Linked DNA regions of Caenorhabditis elegans. The protein of the gene in region 1 interacts with the protein of each later gene in a pairwise test. Each region holds a gene or a part of one and is shown in the gene's direction. Other genes may lie near its edges.

Region 1 (4,961 bases):
TTTAAAATGTCAAGAAAAACATATTCTTTCTAATGAGGAAATGATTGAACATGCTAATGAGGCACTTGATGAGCTTGCCAGGCGCTTACAACACGAGACAAGCCATCTTAGTAACTTGAAAGCTGCTCGCCAAGACATGACAACGGCTATTTCGACTCGAACTGGGCCAACAAAACAGAAACTCGAGGAAGTTTTGGATTATATTGGCTGTAGTCAAAAAATTAACTATCAGGGATTAACCGGAAATCAAGTAAATTTGTGATTTTCGGTATTTGAAAATATTCTAATCTTTAGGTTCGCCAACTACTAAGGACAGAAAACATTGACAAAGTACTAAAAGTCTTCACGGACTGTAGTTGGATCCAGAATATGAGAAACTTCATGAATGATTTGGCGTCACTCATGTCAGCAAGCAATAACGCAGTCTTCACAGATGATGATTTGAATGATTTCGCTAAAACTTTGAAGAACTTGAAGAGAAACATCAGAATTCTTCATCCTTCGATGGGAGTCACTCCTAAACTTCACATCCTCTGTACTCACCTCGAGCCTTACATTAGAGCAAAAAGAACTTGGGGTCGTACTTCAGAACAAGGGATGGAAGCGTTTCATGTGCTCTTCAGGACAACAGAGACGCGATTTTCTTCTGTGATGTCTCTCAAGCTACGCGCTGAGTTGATGATCGACTATTTCGCTAACATCAACTATATTTCCGATAAAAGAAACTAGTGACAGCAAACATTTCTAGGAAACCGTTTTTATAGTACATCTCTCTCTCTCTCTCTCACTCACATGTTTTTTTTTCGATTAAATCAATTAAACGAGCAGAAAAGCCATGAATGATCTCTAAATTCCGACTTACAAAGTGTTTTGAGTTGATGATAAGCGTGAATCCTAATTTTCAATTGCCTAAACTAACAAACGGGTTGTGAATGGGTTCAGATTGGGGTACAGCATGAAAATATTTCAAAAGAAGTGAATACAATTTTAGAAAAACCGAATACAAGCAATGTAAACATGAAAATGAAACAAAAAAACGAAAAAAAAATCAACCTTGTTCGAAGAAAATGATGAGAATTAGAATGAGCAAGGAAATGCGAGAGACTTGGAAATGTGAGAGACGCAGCATTTCACGCGAAACGCGCCAGCAATCGTCGCGCTTGCGCATTTCGAGACGAGGATACTGTGTAAAATTGTAATCATTTGTTGCAATTTTTGTTCTTGAGTTAACTTTATTTTTCATTTTCCTCGACCTAATTTCTCAAAATTGTTAAAATGTATACTATTTATTACCCTGCAGTGCTCAAATCTTGTGATGAGCACTATCAAAGTTTTAGATGGAGTTTTTTAAAAAGTATTTTTTTTAGTATAATTGTTTTTTTCAGTAAATTTAGTTTTTTGGAGCAGAACGCTGAAATCTGCCAAGGTTCGCTACAACCAGATATATCTAGATATAACTGCAAATGTGCGCGCTCCATTGAGACTACACGCGACGCACAACCGCGACGCGTATTGGACAGCGTTCTCCGTCTTCTTTGAACAGCATCTGTCCTCAACCATTCTCTTCTCGTTTCTCTTTTAATTTTAAGATATATTTGCTCTTCAAAGGATAAATTTCAGTCAACGCATCGACACGTAGCGAGTGCCTCGACTTGAATATCGACAAAAATGGGTTAGTTTCTTTTTTAATAGTCGTTTTCTTATTGGAATATCGAAATCCGAGTGTCCACTGAAAGTATTTTATTTATCCTCCTAACACCATTCATGTTTTATAAATTAGGTTAATGCGTGAATTTGTGGGAGCTCCCGAATACAAATCACGGGCGTTGCCATTTCTGTTTCCCGGTTATTTGAAAACATTATCGATTTCAGCGGCTTACGACCAAAGTCAACCCGACTACAGCACACCCGAAGGGCAGCAGGCGTATTGGGCCTATTATCAACAGCAACAACAACAACAACCAGGAGGTCAACCTGATGTAAGTATATGAGATTTTGTGGGCTGATCGCCTCACTATCATGGCTTTGCTCAGAATTGTTCAGGAGCATAGTTCTGCTGTTGAATACCACCAGGCTCACAGACGTTTCATAGTTTAAATTTCAGCAGGATCCGTACGCCGCTGCTGCTTATGGAGGCCACGACCAAGCACAACAACCGCAAAATCCATATGCACCACCACCACCAGGAGCGGATCCATACGGCCAAGGATCCGGAGGCCAATCCGGAGGATCTGACCCCTACGGGCAAAGTAGAGGTGGCGGCCGTGGAGGATTCGGAGGCAGTCGTGGAGGAGGTGGATATGATGGTGGACGTGGCGGAAGTCGTGGAGGATACGACGGAGGACGCGGAGGTTACGGCGGTGATCGCGGAGGACGTGGTGGTGGTAGAGGTTTGTTCTTGTTTGATTAATGTATTCATAATAAACCATGTTTTTCAGGTGGCTACGACGGAGAACGCCGAGGTGGGAGCCGATGGGATGACGGAAACTCTGATCGGTAGGTAAACATCTGAATGTTTCGTTAGCAATATGCGGTATTTCCAAATTCGTTTGCTTAACCATCCAAAAATTGTTGTGTTGTGTTGAAAATCGAAACTGCTACAGAGTTCAGAGTATTCAGTGTTCATATACAAAATCTATTCACTATTAAAAACTTGCGAAGAGTAATGTATTGTGTCCGTCATTGTAAGTTTCATGAAAAAAGGTCAGTGTCCGCAATGAAGCACAAATTCATTGTGCTTTATCGATTTGTAGGGCTATGGCCCGGTTTCCTTCAAAATATTATGCAGTTCAGCTATTATTACGTGTGTTCGGTATCAAAACGAGTCAAGAGTGAAGAACAAATGAAGTCTACCAAACGACTTCGAGCGTGCAGGAGATGCTTCTGTCTGAAATCTCTCATGCTTGAAAAATCTTAAAATCTAAATGATCGTGTTTGTGCGTACAAAAAAAAATCAATTGAAGGTGTATTATTGCGCGGTCGAAATCTGAAAACATTTTACTGTGGTGTTAGCATGAGAGAAGAAGACAGAAGACTCCATTCAAGAATGATGTTTTGCAGACAGGGCGGACCTCCAGGAGGAAGAGGAGGTTATCAAGGTATTGAATACGTAAATTGCTTTATCTTTCGTACCACAACGAGTTTATTACCAAAATTAAAAAAAAATGGGTATCCTACCGAGTTTATCATCGAAATTCAAAAACAAAAAACATTAAACGAATATAAAAATACTTGTTCCTGTGCTTTATATTATTGACAGTTGGACGAAAAAATTGTTTGTAAAAGTTTTCATATTTTCATTGCAGACAGAGGACCCCGACGTGACGGACCACCAAGTGGAGGAGGATACGGAGGCGGTGGTGCTGCTTCAGGAAACCGCGAATTCGGATCCGATGGGCGAGTTGAGTTGAAGGAGACCGTCTTTGTGCAGGGAATTTCCACCACGTATGTTTTGTAATCGCCCAATTAAAAAATGTATCTATATTTCAGTGCAAATGAAGCCTACATCGCCGACGTCTTCAGTACCTGCGGAGATATTGCAAAGAACGATCGCGGACCGAGAATCAAGATTTACACCGATCGCAACACCGGAGAACCAAAAGGAGAATGCATGATAACATTCGTCGATGCTTCTGCAGCTCAACAAGCTATAACTATGTACAATGGGCAACCATTCCCTGGCGGCTCAAGCCCGATGAGTATTTCACTAGCCAAGTTCCGCGCTGATGCAGGAGGTGAACGAGGTGGTCGTGGTGGACGAGGCGGTTTCGGAGGTGGTCGTGGTGGTCCTATGGGAGGACGTGGTGGCTTTGGCGGTGATCGTGGAGGATATGGCGGCGGCGGTGGTCGTGGAGGATTCGATGGTGGTCGCGGTGGTGGCGGTGGATTCCGTGGCGGAGACCGAGGAGGATTCCGAGGTGGTGATAGAGGAGGCTTCCGCGGAGGAGATCGTGGAGGATTCCGAGGCGGCGACCGTGGTGGCGATCGTGGAGGATTCAGAGGAGGCCGTGGAGTAGGTGGCGGAAATGCTAATATGGAACAAAGGAAGAATGACTGGCCATGTGAGCAGTGCGGAAATAGCAACTTCGCTTTCAGAAGAGTTAGTTAATTTTGTTTTTTCAAAAAAAAAACACGGGTTTTCTTCTAGGAATGCAATCAATGCCAAGCCCCGAGACCAGATGGAGGATCCGGAGGTGGTGGTGGCGAGCGACGAGGAGGACCACCAGGAGGTGACCGATACCGTCCATATTGAGCCATCAACTCGTCTCCCCATAAATTTTAACATCTAATTTAAATTCTCTGATCTCTTCAATGTGAGAGACTTGTAACAATTTTATATCCACCTTTATATTCTACTTCGATACATTCAAATTTCAATGTTCTTTTTATATTTCATTTTTTCCCACTTTTTATTTTTAACGAAAATAAAAATTTTTGCACATTAACATCTGTTTTTTTTGCAATTGTCCGCATTTCCCTACCCATCAGCTGCTTTGCGTGTCACTGTCTGTTTTCTCTCCGCACTTCATCTCTACGTCACACTATCTGCTTCTCCATCTCTTTCGTCTCGACCTCCCTTTGCCTCGGCGCCCACCTCTCATTCTTCCAATTTACCCGGGAGAGACTGTCCGTTCGAAACTTCGACCGACTAATGAGCAGTATTACAGGACTACAAGGTAAGATTCGAAGAAATCGCTATGAGAATAGATTTTTAGTAAGATTATTCTCGCATATTCAGAATAAAAATATAAAACTATCAATGAAAGTTATTTTAGATTCAGAATTAAAGTATAGTTCTTAAACTTTATGATTGATAGGCTCTACGAACATTTAATTTGAAGATAAAAACGTAGAAAGTTACATCGTAATTTAAATAGACTCTGACATGCCTTCACAAAGGCACACGGATTTATTCAGATGGGTCTTCGCGCGCAAAAAAGTTAATGGTAGTTTTTTTTAAA
Region 2 (7,594 bases), on another chromosome or scaffold:
TCGATGCACCATAATGCTGTTTGGCGATAACTTTAGAGTAAGAATGGTAGCGATTTTTGCGATGCACCATGACGTTTTTATCGATTTTCAGAAAAAAAATCACTCCGAGACCCAAATAGTTTCATTCTCGACGCACTATAACGTTTTCGAAGTAAATTTCAAAATTGCTTCTCGGAAAAGTTTTTTGAGACCTACATGCACCTTTAATCTTCTTTGGAAACTTTGGAATTTCCGCCGAATACTCTCATTTCAGTTGTTCTCGATGCACCATGATGGTATTTTTTTCAAATTACTTTTTTTTGATTTTTCCATGAGAGGACCAATATCTGTCTTTATAACGGCGCATTCTGTAACCAAATTTTGAAATTCCACGACATTCTGCTCTCATCGATTCAACATGATAATTTTAAAATGAAATTTAGCGATTTTTCGGGAAAAAAACAGTTTCGAGATTTTCTAGTTATTGGACACTCTGCACCTTGCTTATTTGGAAATTACATTTTAAACCGACAACCCTTCAAAAACTGCTTTTCGTCGATGCACTATGAGTGCATAATTTTGTGTAAATCGTGGTGGGCCTCTAAAAAAACCGAAAAAAAAAACGTATAAAACGCAAACAAATTGTTTTTGTTGTAATGTTGACACCAACAGATTCGGCGTGGAATATACGGAAGATCGGATTTCCAAAAAAACAACCGCTCTCCTGTTTTCGACGTTCCGCCGCTTTTTATGGGAGAAGTAGTATGTACCTTTAAGGGTACTGTAGCCCCTTGAATATTGGCCTAAAAGTGAAACTAGTGTTGCCAAAAAAAAACGAGATGACCAGTTTCAATATGTCATTTACATCTACACATTTCTAAAATCTCATTTTAAATTCCATTGTTTTCTCGTTTCTTCTGTCCCAAAGTACCGTATCCTCATCCTTCTACCACCTTAATTTGCATTTCTTCTTCCTTATTCACTCTTCTTCCCCTGGACGAAAAATGTTGCACGACAACAACAAAAGAGACCCGCCCCCCACCATCGGTTTCTCTGAACCTCTAACTGTCCCCGCCCCCTTTTGGGAGCCCACTGTCTTTTCTTTTTTTCTTTGGTCGCTGATTATGACGGATCGTTTTTGTCGTTTTTGTATTACAGGAATACAAATTTCCCAAAACGCGTATTGCACAACATATTTGACGTGCAAAATATCTAGTAGCGAAAACTATAGTAACTCTTTAAATGACTTTTGTAGCACTGATGCCGATTTAATTAAATTATTTATTAACAGATAAAATATTAAAAGAAAACACGACAATTCAAAAAAATTCATTTCGTAAATCGAGCCCGTAAATCGACACAAGCGCTACAGTAGTCATTTAAAGAATTACTGTTTTTTCGCTACGAGATATTTTGTGCGTCAAATATGTTGCGCAATACGCATTCTTATAATTTTGTGTACCCGTAGTATATTTTTGTCTCTCTGATTTCCATTGCAATTTTTTAATTCCATATTTTTTTGGTGACAAATTTCTCCGCTTATCAATTTTTTTTTCAACCACATAATTATTAACCCCAAAACATCGCAGATTTTCAGGTAAAATGCCAGTCGTGAGCGTTAGACCTTTTTCTATGAGAAATGGTGAGCAATTTTTTTGAAGTTTTTTTTTGAAATTTTTAATTTTTCCAGAAGGCTTCTCAAACGGGCATAACACGTGGAACGACGCCGAATTTTGGAAACCGTGAGTTTTCGGCAAATAAGCTAACAGTCTAAGAAACACGAAAAAAAATCCAATTTTCTTTTCAAAATTCGTGATTTTCGGATGATTTTTGAACTTTTTGATTAATGTTCCCACTGAAAATCCTCCAAATCTCTAAAAATCCGCTTCTAAAAAAGCCTCAAATGGCCTTGCGAGAATAGACGGAATGTTCAAGGATGACTGGTATAAAATCGGCAAACGTGTTGCCATTCAAACAGAATATCTCGAAATTTCGCCTTCCTTTTTTTTAAGTGGGTCGGATATTTAACATACAGAAGAGAATAGGGAGAGAAAAGAGGGAAAAGAGGGGAAAAGTCTTCTTGGAAACAACCTCGAACCGCAATTAAGTTTTTGCCTCACCCTTCAATTTTCGTGAGAAAGTTAAAAATCCAAATTTTTTTCTCCTTTTTTAAAAAAAGATTTCCTCCTCAAAAATTCAAAGGATCGAATTTTTTGTTACACGCCTGCCTCCTTTTTATTACCCTTGTTCTTGATCGCAACCTCTTTTCTAGATTACTTGAAAAAATGCGCTATTTTTTTTCCTTTTTCAACAGAGTCAATTTCAAAGGTGCTGTGGAAAAAGTTTCGGTTTTTTTTTGCAAAAATAATCGAAATTTGTTCGTTTATACTGCTTAAAAAATGACCAAAATTTCAAGTAATTCATTCGAAAAATCGATTTTTTTGAAATATACAAAAATTTTCAATTTTTCATATCTGAAAACACAATTTTTTCGATTTTTCATTTTTCTTGGAAAAAACACAAAAAAAAACTGTATTTAATTTCCCACTTAATACTACGATATCCAAGCCCCGCCTCCGCGTATTGTACGTGAACACGGCGGCCCAAAATTACACACTATCTCACACACGTTAAATGAGTGATACCGTACTCTCTCTGTTTTTTCTTTCATTTTTTCGGCGCCGAAAATTTTCAATTTTTGGTGGTTCTTTTGGCGGGATTTTTCGGATTTTTGTCGCGTTCACACACACACACCAGTTGGTGTTGCCTGTCGTCACCCACCCGCCCCACTCTTTGTCCGTGTACTGCTTTGCCATTTGTGCGCGCGTACCGCTGCCCGTCTGTCTTTCTCATCATATGCGCCTCGTTTTGTCGCTTTTTCTCCATTTGCCCTTCCTACATGGGTACCTGCGGTTTTCATCGAAAATATCCTTAAAAATTCCGAAAAACCTCTATTTTTCGATTTTTGAATCGATTTTCGCCCAAACATAACCATTTTTCAGAATGAAGGAAGAACAAATCGCCTATAAATTGCCAGGGGCTTGGTATTACGAGGAGGACACTGCCTCGTGCTCTCCAGTCAGCGATCCGGAGGATATTGCGCAGTTTCTCAACTACAGAACGTCGATAGGCGTGCAAAATGTCACAGAGTCCGTGGAAGTTCCGACGTCGGAGCATGTCGCCGAGATTGTTGGTCGTCAAGGTAAAAATTGCCTTTTTAGTCAAATCTACAGTTTCCACAAATTTTCAGGCTGCAAAATTAAGGCACTGCGCGCCAAGACCAACACCTACATCAAGACACCGGTTCGCGGAGAAGATCCAATTTTCGTGGTCACCGGACGCCTGGAGGACGTGAACGAGGCGAAACGAGAGATCGACTGCGCCGCCGAGCACTTCACACAGATCCGTGCGTCGAGAAGACATACACAAGGTAGGTGACCGTAGGCAGCCGGTTCCTGAGCGCCTTGTTCAGTTGTTCCAGGAGCCCATGCACCTGGACAGATCACGAGCTATGTCAGAGTTCCGTTAAGAGTTGTCGGACTCGTCGTCGGACCGAAAGGAGCGACTATCAAGCGAATTCAACAGGACACCCACACGTACATCATTACGCCGAGCCGAGAAAGGGAGCCCGTTTTTGAGGTAATTTTGTTGGAGAGCATAGAGTTTTGGAGCAAAATTCTCAGCAATTTCATGCTTTTTAACAAAAACAGAGAAGTTTCTAGTTTCGGCTTAGAAAATACTGAAAATCGGCTTTTCCATGGCATATATCGTGCTGAAAATCTACTTTTGACTGAAAAATTCAAGTTTATGACTAAGAAAAGTTAGATAATTAGACCATGCTATTATTTCATAATATTGGTCCAATTTTTGTTGCTTTGCTGAAAATTAACAAAATTTAAAAATCGGCGGGGTTTCTGAAATATTTCTGTATAAAAACCGATTTCAACTCCAATTTTCCTCGATTTTTACATATAAGTAATCTAGAAAAATTGTAAAATGGGGAGAATTCATAAGAAAATCGGCTGTTTTGTAGCAAAGTTTGTAAATATATCATTCTGAAAGTCTCAGCGATAACCGTGATTCTAGAAAACCTCATCAGGATTTGATTTCTGCGACACACTTCTCTCGAGTTTTACATAGAAGTTGTTCATTACAAATTTCTATTTTTAAGGTCCCCATTACCATTGTCAATCTTTCATTCCGATTATTTGTTTTTCCTCGTCACTGCAAGAAGGGGAGCCTAATGCCTAGACAGAGACAGAAAACACATGTGTGTTTGTAAGTGTCTGGTGTGATATACCCAATTCTTTTCGGCCGTCTCTTGTTTTCTTCCTGACACCGAGTTTCGAGCGATTTTCGAGGTCGTACAGTTGTGAATTGGCTGCCACTGCTGTGGCAAACAAACAAAAACAATCAAACTTGTGCGGAATTGATATTCTAAAGAGAATAAAGAGCAACCATGGGCGCCGAAACGAGCAGCGGAAGGGCTTGTGACCTCTTGGTGTGAATTTTAAACGGTTTCCTTCCATCCGAAATGCTAAAAATTCCTCGGGAGCCGTTTAGGGTCTTCACTGAGAGATGATGATTAGAATCTTTTAATTTGGTAGAATTCCCCCCGCGGGACCGATTAATGTTGCATGTCGTCTTCTTCTTCTTGGCAGCAAAATATCATTGTTGATGAGATATCTCAGTTTGATGCTCAATGACGCCTTGAGAAACATCCAGCACACAGTAGATTAGTCGAATTACCGATGGATGGGGCCGCCCGGGTTTTTGGAGCCAAGAGTCACGCGATGGGGAGTCCACATACACACGCACCAACTCTTTCATTCCATCTAACAGGGTAGTAGGGTGAAGAAAAGGGGGGGGATCGCGATGACAAAGAGACTCAATTAATTAAATGACCGGGGCGGGCGCCAAATTGCACATATGCTTGGTTTTATTGCACCGTTGGCTCAGGGAGAGCAACATTTTGTGGCAGCACCAGGGGTACTTCAAAATGACGAACAAAGGTCGTTGTTGTTTCTATAGGAAGGCTTCCGAACTTTTGAACAGTAATCAGATCATATTAGGGTTATGTAATTGACGGTTTTGACCGTATGTGTCTATAGATGCGTGTGTGTGTGTGTGTGTGGCGACATAAATTACCGTATCCGCATGGCCTTTTTCCTCCTTCCTCACAATGGTAATTATCATCCCCCACTACTCTGGGTCGCCGGACGAACTGTGAATGTGTTGACAGTGCGGGCCCACTAGTACATGACATCTTGCCCCGGTGCGGTGCGCTCATCGTTATTCCTCCCAATTTAGTTGTCCGTTTGACACAAATGCCTCCGGTACCCTGGACGAGACAAGGAGGTGATGGATTTGCCAGGCGGGGAAGGAATTACATGATGTTTGGGAGAATATGAGGGAAAGGTACAGAAGCTTCACCTCGGATATTATATGCGTTCTAAAAAGACCAATTGTCGTTTTTGTTCGTGGCTCAAATGAATAATTGGTATGGAAATATAGAAAAATGTCCGACTAGTTTGGTAATAGAATTGTTTCGTTTTGAACATTTCAAAAATACCTCAAATAGTGCACTTGAGATCTTTGTTGAATTTTCAAAGGTTTTATTTTCAGATAAATTGAGCATTTTCCATACTTATAAAATCAATTTTTGGTTCAAAAACTTCTAATTTTCTCACCGAAAAAGTTCTCACAAGACAGTGACAGAGGTCGCGTGTCGTTTTGATATCCATCTCGATAATCAGAGATTGTGATCTATGCCTCAATGACACAGTTCCGCGAAGGAGTCCGAGAAAAACGTACAAAATTGGGGAAAAATATTGGAAATAACATTTATTGAAAAATTAAAAAAAAAACATAAACTATTTAAATTCACAAAAATTCGGAAGCATATTTCCTATAATGAAAACAAAAAATTCTGAAAATGTGTACTGCACAACATATTTGACGCGCATAATCTCTTGTAGCAAAAACTACAGTAATTCATAAAATTGACTACTGTAGCGCTTGTTTTGAGTTACGTGCTCTACGAAATGAATTTAAATAATTTATCGATGGAAAAATAATTTTAAGCAGAAAATGAGAAAATAATATGAAGAAACAAAAAGAAATTCGAGTTACGTGCTCTAAGAAATGAATTTAAAAAATTTATCGATGGAAAAATATTTTTAAGAAGAAAATGAGAAAATAATATGAAGAAACGAAAAGAAATTCATTCGAAAATCGAGCGCGTAAATCCAGAGCTACAGTAATCAGTGAAAGAATTACTGTAGTTTTCGCTACTAGATATTTAGTGCGTCAAATATGTTGCGCAATACACATTTCTGGAATTTTGTGTTTCCGTAATAAAATAAGTTTTTTGCGAGAACTACAAAAATATAACTATTTCTATTCCAGGTGACCGGCCTCCCACATAACGTCGAGGCTGCCCGCAAGGAGATCGAGACGCACATCTTCCAGCGAACCGGAAATCTTCCAGAAACCGACAATGACTTTGCCGGACAGTTGGCCGGTGTCTCGTTGATGGTGCAGAAGCAGCAACAGGCTCAACAACAAATGCAGGAGGCTCAGCAACAATCGATGTTCTATCGAAGAGCATTCGGCAACAGTAATCCGTTCAATCAGAAGGAGATGTCGTCGTCGCCATTCGGAATGGAGAGCTCGTTGGGATTGGACGCGTTGCTCCGCAGTTTCCCATCGATGCGTAGTTCGTTGACTCCGGAATCTCTTTCCGGTACTGGACTGTCTTCTCGTCCATCGTTGGGAGGAGGACAATCGGCGAAACAAGATCTGCCAACCTACGACTACTGGGGAACCAACAACTCGCTTAATGATATTATGGAGAACGGTAAGCTTTTTTTGCGAATTTTAATAAGAATTTTAAATGACAAATAAGGATTTTTCAGAAATTCTCAGCCGCAAGTACGATGCCCTGTCCGCATGGTCGTCGATGGGATTGGAGAAACGCGAGGAATCCCCAACCAATGGGTATATATTTTTGAAGGAATTTTATAAATTTTTGAAATAAAACTAAAAATTGCAATTTTCCTTCAAAGTTCTAAATTTTTGAAAGAAAATTTGATTTTCCGCTAAAAAATTTAAAAAAAAAACAAGTTTTCGTGTTTTCCACTCGGAACCTGACGGCTTCTTATCAATTTTTTAAATAAAAAATAACGTTTCTAAAACTCAGAATGTTTAAAAAATTTCACATTAAAAAATTATTTTTCCGAAATCTTGAACCTATCCGTTTTTGAAAATAAAAAAGAGTAAAATCGTAGTTTTCTCTATAAAAATTATAATTTTCATTTGAAATTCAAAAATTTTTAAATAAAATTGGATTTTGTCCGTCAGAAATCTATAAAAAGAAAATTTTTTTTGAACAATAAAAGAAAAATTGTAATTTTCTTTTGAACTTCAAAAAAATATGTTTTTTTTCACATGCAAAAAATTGATTTTTTCAAAACCTCGTTTTTGAGAGAAAAAGGTGAAATTCCAATTTTAAGAGGTAAAGTTAAATTTATTTATTTTATGAGAAAAACTTGAAATTTAAAGGAAAATTACTGAAATTTACAATTTATCATACATATTTTTTAATTTCGACATA

Evidence for each region. The genes of interacting proteins can lie anywhere in the genome.
Region 2: the proteins of fust-1 (region 1) and mex-3 interact in a two-hybrid assay, tested with the Caenorhabditis elegans proteins (one large-scale study listed by BioGRID).

The regions. Positions count from the first base shown.
Region 1 is NC_003280.10:7,151,032-7,155,992, forward strand, and holds fust-1 (RNA-binding protein FUS), read left to right. Parts: upstream 1-1,620; 5' UTR 1,621-1,668; coding exon 1,669-1,672; intron 1,673-1,872; coding exon 1,873-1,979; intron 1,980-2,104; coding exon 2,105-2,390; intron 2,391-2,438; coding exon 2,439-2,496; intron 2,497-3,060; coding exon 3,061-3,098; intron 3,099-3,305; coding exon 3,306-3,444; intron 3,445-3,489; coding exon 3,490-4,099; intron 4,100-4,147; coding exon 4,148-4,252; 3' UTR 4,253-4,441; downstream 4,442-4,961. Other genes in the region: T07F8.1 (Zinc finger PHD-type domain-containing protein), read left to right, coding at 1-250, 295-729; C27H5.2 (TAR DNA-binding protein 43 N-terminal domain-containing protein), read left to right, coding at 4,652-4,676.
Region 2 is NC_003279.8:125,716-133,309, forward strand, and holds the start of mex-3 (K Homology domain-containing protein), read left to right. Parts: upstream 1-1,569; 5' UTR 1,570-1,581; coding exon 1,582-1,621; intron 1,622-1,669; coding exon 1,670-1,721; intron 1,722-2,981; coding exon 2,982-3,181; intron 3,182-3,229; coding exon 3,230-3,409; intron 3,410-3,451; coding exon of another isoform or gene 3,452-3,460; coding exon 3,461-3,618; intron 3,619-6,387; coding exon 6,388-6,838; intron 6,839-6,896; coding exon 6,897-6,978; intron 6,979-7,594.